Arabidopsis thaliana: one gene and its partner. The protein of the gene in region 2 interacts with the protein of the main gene of each other region in a pairwise test. Each region holds a gene or a part of one and is shown on either strand. Other genes may lie near its edges.

The links.
Region 1: the proteins of BSK5 (region 2) and ASB1 interact in a two-hybrid assay, tested with the Arabidopsis thaliana proteins (one large-scale study listed by BioGRID).

What each region holds. Positions count from the first base shown.
Region 1 is NC_003070.9:8,837,829-8,841,584, forward strand, and holds the start of ASB1 (anthranilate synthase beta subunit 1), read right to left. Parts: upstream 1,722-3,756; 5' UTR 1,651-1,721; coding exon 1,545-1,650; intron 1,452-1,544; coding exon 1,288-1,451; exon of another isoform or gene 677-1,287; coding exon 567-676; intron 479-566; coding exon 441-478; intron 345-440; coding exon 234-344; intron 119-233; coding exon 19-118; intron 1-18. Other genes in the region: AT1G25230 (Calcineurin-like metallo-phosphoesterase superfamily protein), read right to left, coding at 2,646-2,871, 2,981-3,048, 3,360-3,488, 3,582-3,709. UniProt on the Arabidopsis thaliana protein: Part of a heterotetrameric complex that catalyzes the two-step biosynthesis of anthranilate, an intermediate in the biosynthesis of L-tryptophan.
Region 2 is NC_003076.8:23,821,383-23,825,138, forward strand, and holds the start of BSK5 (kinase with tetratricopeptide repeat domain-containing protein), read right to left. Parts: upstream 1,936-3,756; 5' UTR 1,718-1,935; coding exon 1,636-1,717; exon of another isoform or gene 1,546-1,635; coding exon 1,337-1,545; intron 1,217-1,336; coding exon 1,081-1,216; intron 877-1,080; coding exon 743-876; intron 616-742; coding exon 510-615; intron 404-509; coding exon 318-403; intron 200-317; coding exon 11-199; intron 1-10.

The sequences.
Region 1 (3,756 bases), on a different chromosome or scaffold from region 2:
AAAAAATTTGATTCATACTTTGATAATCCAGAGAACAAGCCTTCTTCTCCTTTCTCATCATAGTGAACCATTGAGCTTTTCCCATGCATAACACCAAATGGTGACCGCACAATCTTTCCTAATCAATGTTCAAACAAAATTGCATTTAAGTTGTGGATACATAATAAAGAACAAATCCATGTTATAGAACACTGATACGGAGAAATAAGATGTCTTGTTTATATACAACTAACCTCCAAATGCTTCTCCTATACACTGCAAACCCATACATACTCCAAATAAAGGAACAAGTGGTCCGAGTTCCAAAACAGTTTGCAAGGAAATCCCAGAGTCTTGAGGGGTACCTATAAAATTTAAGAAAGGTGTTATCTTCTTCTCGGGCACTTCAAAAAGATACACCACATAATCAGAAAATAAATTTCAGAGGCCAGAATATTTACCAGGCCCTGGAGAAATCAACACCCCTCTTGGATTTTTTCTGCAAGAAGGAGAGCATAATAAAGGAATCAACACCAATTGACTAGCTAGATTACGTTTTAAACAGAATGCATATAGTTTCTTCTCACTTTTTCAGCTCTTCTACTGTAAGTTCATCATTGCGGTAAACTTCAAAATGGCATCCTAGCTCTCCCATATACTGTAGAAATAGATAACAATTCTCAAAATTTTGTTTATACTAAAGCAGAAGAAACCATATGAAGAGAACGATCACAATAAATACTAGAAGTGAGACATGATCAAATTGTATATTAGAGACCTATTATGCATTATGTGAGATACTCAGAGCAGCCAAAATTTCATGATAAACCGAGATACTCCAACAACGAATAAACAATCTAAAGTAAAAAAATAACAACTCACAAAATCACCAATTCAAACTTTGAACATGATTAAAGATACTACTCAAAAGACCAGACTTTAGGCAGCAAAGAAGTGATGTATTAGCTTTTGCTTGATCAACAGTTACTCCTTACAACGCCAAACAAGAAACGAAGAGCTTTCGACAATAAGATTTGATGGTACAACATAACGACTCTGATCACATACATAAACAAGAGAGAAACTACATTACATAGTCTTATCTATTAGCATGTCGAAACTAGATTGGATTGTGAAATAATGAGATTTTAACATTCAATCACCATGCATACTTGAATAAACATTTCTAACAAAATCAAGGACTTTGCAAATTCAGCTGCTTTTACACCAAAACAGATTCAAAAACATTCCACATCAAAAATCTAACAAGCGTAGAGTGAAGATTTGAGAATGTGTTCGAAATGAAACCTGGCAGAGATTGTATGTGAAGCTGTCGTAATTATCAATCACGATGATTGGACCATGCTGCTTAGAGGAATTGACAACAACGGAAGGTATCGAATTCGATTCCGCCATTTCAATCGAAGCTTTCGCAAAGACATCTCTACGACTCTTCCCCAAAACGGAAACTCCTGTATCACAGAGGAAACAAAAAAACTGATAAAAATCGAAACTTTAGATTGGAATAACGCCTCTATCTCCGTATCTCGACACCGGAGACTTACTTGTGGGATTCGTAAGAGGGTTAACGAGAGAAGGGTTTAGGCGGCGAGTGGTGGAGCCAGACTTGGGTTGAAGAAGACAGGATTTGTACAATGTAGAAGCCGCCATTGTCTGAGAAGCAAAGATTCCTGATTTAATTCCAAAAGAGAGGAGTTTATAAAAAGCTCTGAGAGAGAGAGATTGGAAGAACTTGACAGGTGAAACGGTGCGTTTTGTGGAACATGAACCACGTGCTTAATCAGTAGTAGGTGAGTGGATTAATTAATTTGATTAGAAACCTCTTTTGTTTGGTCAAAGTCAAACTCATACTTGTCTAAAATGGCGTTTGGAATTAGTCCATTCGCAGGACTAGTCAATTCGTAAATGATAAAACCATCACGTTACTCTTGTCCTAAAATAAATAAAAATAATGTAATAGGGCCAGTCTTGTTTTAGCCCGAAACACTTTAACGGGCCCGGACCGGACCTTAAATTTAAGCCCTATATAACATCCCTACATGCTACACGTGCCTAACCTAAGTCTCTAGATAGGTTGGTAAAAATAAATGAACAAAATTAGGAAGTTAGTTTTCATTTCTTAAAAAGTATGAACAAATATAGGAAGTTATTTCTTAATTTAGATTCATGTATTTACGTATCCTTTACCATTTTTGGTATATTTTTCTCAATTCCGGTTGATGTGTCTTTATTGGTTTGGTTTGAATTGAAAAAGACACCAATGTTGAAGTTTTTTTTTTGCTCCCATTGAATGTAGCTCCAACTTTTAATATGAATGTTCTTATATTAGGCGGTCTATGGCCAAACGTATTTATTAAATTGATAAAGTATTGTACGAACCTCCAATTTTTTTGGTATGTGTTTGTTTGGTCCCATATAATATACTTAATGGATCGAACAAAAGAATTGTATTTACGTCATGGTTTAGCTAAATATGCTGTGATACATTCAATGACGAAGATGGCTCGTACAGAAAGTTTCCAACATTCTGCATGACTTCATGTATTCTGAGTTTGCCTAATTTACTTGATTTTTTTTTAGCCACTCATAGTAATCATATTTATTTATATGTAGAATTTATGTGCTTTAACTGATTTTCATGTGAATTACAATGGGAAATAAAAATCCGAGTCTAACATTTTCGATGTGTCCCACTTATGCAAACTATTGCCGGAGACATCATAAAAAACGACACTCAATTCTGATCTAGTGATCTTAACTGACATGAAACCTTGTCCATCGTAGAAAAATTTCATATCCTCTGGTGTTGTCCAATTGTAATAGCCTCTCCATGCCTTTGACCCACCACCACTCGTTAGAAACTGAATTGGGCTGCAAAATTATAATAAAATGTTAAATCCACAACTTTATCTCTTTTGTTATCCGCTTCATCCAAACACAGGTTTGGTTTATACTCCATATAACTATTAATCGTTGTTACCTTTGTGATGTGCTTATATGTTGCAAGCAATGATCATGACCGTTCATATAGAGATCAACTTTATTCGCCTGAAAAATCCAAGAATCTAATATTATAATAGTGTGTTTTTTTCTTTTTCAAACGAATTACTACTTTTAGTATTTCAAAAAAAAAAAATTGTTAATGGAAAATATCAACTCCCTTGCGTTTGTCTTTTGCAAAAATAGTTTATGAACAAGTGGAAATGTTAACTTTTAGAAATATACATACTTCGAAAAGAAATATTCACATATAAACATAAAAAACGCAAAAGTTAGTTTAAGAAAAAAAAACACTTTAAATTGCATTTGAAATAATCGAAACATCTCTTAAAATAAGAGTAATTAAGAAGAAAATGAACCTCAAGGATGGGTAAGAGGAGAGATTCAAGCTCTTTGGTATTCCCATGAATGGAAGCACTCTTTATAGCATGGTGACCCACCACAATTTTCCATTTTGCACTTGATTCTCTTAGACCCATCTCCAACTCCTACACATTATAAATACTAATTAGTATTTGGGATCGCCATCATGATAATTCCTACAACTGATGGTAATGACTTAATTATGTGTTTTCAAGTACCGTTAAGATGGTCTGAAGGTAGGATTTTCGCGGTGATACGCCGCTCCAGTCGTAAGTTTGGTCTTGTGGACTGAGGAAATAAGCATCTACAAAAGGAGTTGTGTCGACAAAGAAGAGCTCTGCGATCTCTGCCCGAATATTGAAGATAATAATTTAAAACCGTAATTATATGAGA
Region 2 (3,756 bases):
GAGTGCATACATCAGTTTCTTTCTGAAGAGGAGCGAGTGAGGACACGAGAGATTTCACATTTGGCCTTTCACGAGCTTCATACTGCAAACAACGGGAAGCTAAACGAACCAAATCGGTTCCATCATCGTTTGAGAAATGGCCATCTAGACACGAGTCCATCAGCATCAGGAAATTCTTCCCACGAATCAGATCAAGCGCCTGCAGAACAATGGTAGAGCATACAGAACTTTATCAACATTTTCTGGGATAAGGAGAAGAAGCTAAAAGATCAAGAACTTCCTCCCAAGAGAAGTTGAGCCATGTTTGGTGCACTTACATGGCTTGGTGGTATGTGTTTGCCGCTGAGAAGATCTAGCAACAGCGTTCCGAAGCTGTAGACCACACTCTCCGGAATCACTCTCCCTTAAGAGATTAATAAACGCACATCCATATATCAGATCAATATCATAACTTTGTCAAACAGCAAACACATAACTTGACGCCATTGCATCTCAAATCAGTAACTGACCTGTTCTTAGGTATTCAGGAGGTGTGAAAGCCAAATTTGTACTGTAACTCTTCCCATCCCTACTATTCTTCATAAGACCAAAGCAAGATAATCTCGGGTTACCATCCTGTAATCAAGTTTTCCAGAAAAACATTATAAGAATCCCAGAACAGTAACTTATACGAAAAGTGAAACATAAATCCAATCAAGAGCAAGAAAGAGATAAGAGAGTTAATAGTAAGCTCGAGATGGACCTGGTCAAACAAGATCCTGTAAGCATTAAGATCGTGGTACAAGGCGCGACCTTTGCTGCTACAATACTCAAGTGCTTGTGCAAGATACAAAGCCACTCTCAACCTCATAGACCACTTCATTGGCTGACTATCCCCTACATATCATCACAAATTATTAAGTTCCACCAATCATTTGCATTTAAAGTGTTAATCTTTTGTTCAACAAGATAGAACCAAAAACAGAAATTACCAACAAAATCTCCTAAACAATGTGTTAGAACTAAAAACTAAAAGGCGTAGAGAATCAAACCAAAAAAGTAAACAGTTGCCAATCTCTTAAAGATGATGAGAAGCCTTACAGTGAAAGAGATGCTTCGAGAGAGTTTCAAAAGGCATAAACTCAGCAACGAGCAATCTCTCGTCTCCTTCACAACAGAATCCAATCAAATTCGCCAACCTCTCATTCCTCAACTGCCCCACAGCTTTTGCTTCTTCCTAAAGATCAATCAAACCAAACAGTAAACACCACCAAATGCAACAGGGGTTTTAAATTGAACTGTACGAGAACCCATCAACGGAAATGAGTAAAGGAATCAAATTTATGAGAGTTCGTACAAGAAATTGACGAGTATCAGGCCAAGCGGATCTATTGAATCGTTTAACAGCGATCCATCGGTCATCTTCAAGTCTGCCTTTATACACAACATTAGGAGCTTTAACACCATGTTCGGAGACAATACTGTCTGTAGAGAATCCACAAGTAGCAGCTCGTAGTTGGTCGAAACTAAACTCCGTAAACGACGGCAAATCGTCCGTTCCGTTATCTATCAGAACAAAAAACAAAAAACTCAAACTTTGTTAGCAGAGAGAGTGTGAAAGGTAGAGACTTTAAGTGAAGAAGAAGTTGTTATCACCTAGATCAGAAGCTTCGTTGTGAGTTGATTTGAGATGGGTCGGCCACCAACAGAGAGAGAGCTTAGAGCAACGAGGTCCCATTTTGGGGTTTTGAAAGATTTAAGGAAGATTGAAAGATTTTTCTTAGCTAAACCCGAAAAGCAAAAACCCTTTTTTTTTTCTGGTGAGTCACTTTCTAAAGAGAAGCCAAGAGAGAAAGAGAAAAAAAAAGAAGTTTTTTTTGTTCTCGAGGAGAAAGGAATCTGCGGAAAAAAATGAAAGGAGAAAAATTTATATATAGCGCACGTAGTGGGGAAGACACAGACACAGTCACAGTGGTGAATCATTGAAAAACGTTAAACTTCTTTCTTCAACAATAATAAGTGTTTTTACTTGTTGTGGATCCAATGTTTCTCTTTCTCTCTCGCTTTTTCACTTTGTTTTTTTTTTTCATTAAATATCTAACGTTTATACATTCTGATAACGTTAAAACAGTATTTTTGTTCAATTAGTAGTACATTCAAATCTCACTTTCCAAATGACCAAAACTATATAGATAATAATTACAAAATTAATATGTATATTTTAACAATATTTTTTTCTTATTTACGATGGACACTTCTAACTTCTGTAGTATTTAGAAGAACAATAAACCATACAATTATGTACGATATCATATCCGCAATCGGTTAAGAAAACATTTTGGAAAGCTTGCAAAATCAGTTGTATGAAAATTTTAAGAATGTTTTAGAATGGTGTAGGAATGTTTATAATTTTTATTTTTTAATTGGTCTTTTTGAAAGATAACAGAAAAATAGTGTTTTAGAGTAACTTTAAAATAACACCAAATAGACAACCTTGACTAACTCTGAAACATCCGGTTAAGATATGAAAGGTAAAAATAAAATAATAATGCGAAATTACTACATTAGGGGTAAAATCGTAAACTGAGTGGTCAAAGGGTCAAAGCTATGTGTGCATGCGTGTGGGTGTGAATATTAAAAACAAAGTGGCAGTGGTAGTAATAGTTTAGGAGAAGTTGCATTTAGTGTTCTCTCCATTTAATCTAATCTAGTTTTTCTTTGTTAAAGCATATCTAATCTAGTTTTTCTTCACATATTTAACTCATATTGCCAAAAGATTTTGCCTAAACTACAGATATTATTCAACAAAGCGATAACTTTGATTTGATAAAAGACTGTTATACAGTTTCACTTTTTTATGTACTTTATATTATATGAGCATTTGAAGTTTTGAACCCATAAGCGAAGAACTTTCCAGCTAAAATGACGCAGACCGGTGACCCAATATAGCGAAAGAGGTCCATGAAGCATTTTATATGCGAGTCAAAAGCTTTTGCGGAGTATCATATACGTATTACACCGCAAAGCTCATAAAGTTAAAATCTTTACGAAGCTTTCTCTATGATATATCGAACCAACTTTTGATTTGTTTAAATAATTATTTATTTATAAGAACAGTTATTAATGTTGGTTGGTGGAGACAAAGAGGATCTTGGTGATAAATATGGTAAAGAAAGTAGTAATAGAAGATGACTTCACGCGTGTGCCAAGGAGAAGTTTGTTGTCCTTTGGGGGACACATTTTAGCCTAATTTAAGATGCTCTTAAGTGACCAAGCCAGGACCACTACAACTGTAAATAATGGAAGATAGTAATCATATTCTTCTAGACAATGGAGCGTTATTTTGAAGGTTGCATGTTTTTAAAACTCCCTTCGACTCTTGGCTCAAGAAAATGTTCATGCCAATAACGAAATTTTGGCAACCGATATTAAATATACGCAATAAAACTAATAGTTAGCAATCATAAGCTTTGAAACAAAATCTTTCAATAAGCAAATTGCTCTATATCTTTTATTTCTTATGATGGAAAGATGAATCCTTAGTTTTTACATATTTAGAAGGTACTTACTAGAAGTTGAGTAGTGCTCCGGTTATTTCAAAAAACATTACTCAACCTATAAGGCCATCTCCAAGGGAACTGCAAAACTTTAAAATAGCGTGGGAATGTTAACTTTTTCTCTCCAACCAAACTGTATAATTTACACTATTATAGTGTGATTCCTTTTTTTTCAACAGTATATCACTATATTTGGTGTGTCACTGTAGACAACGGCAAA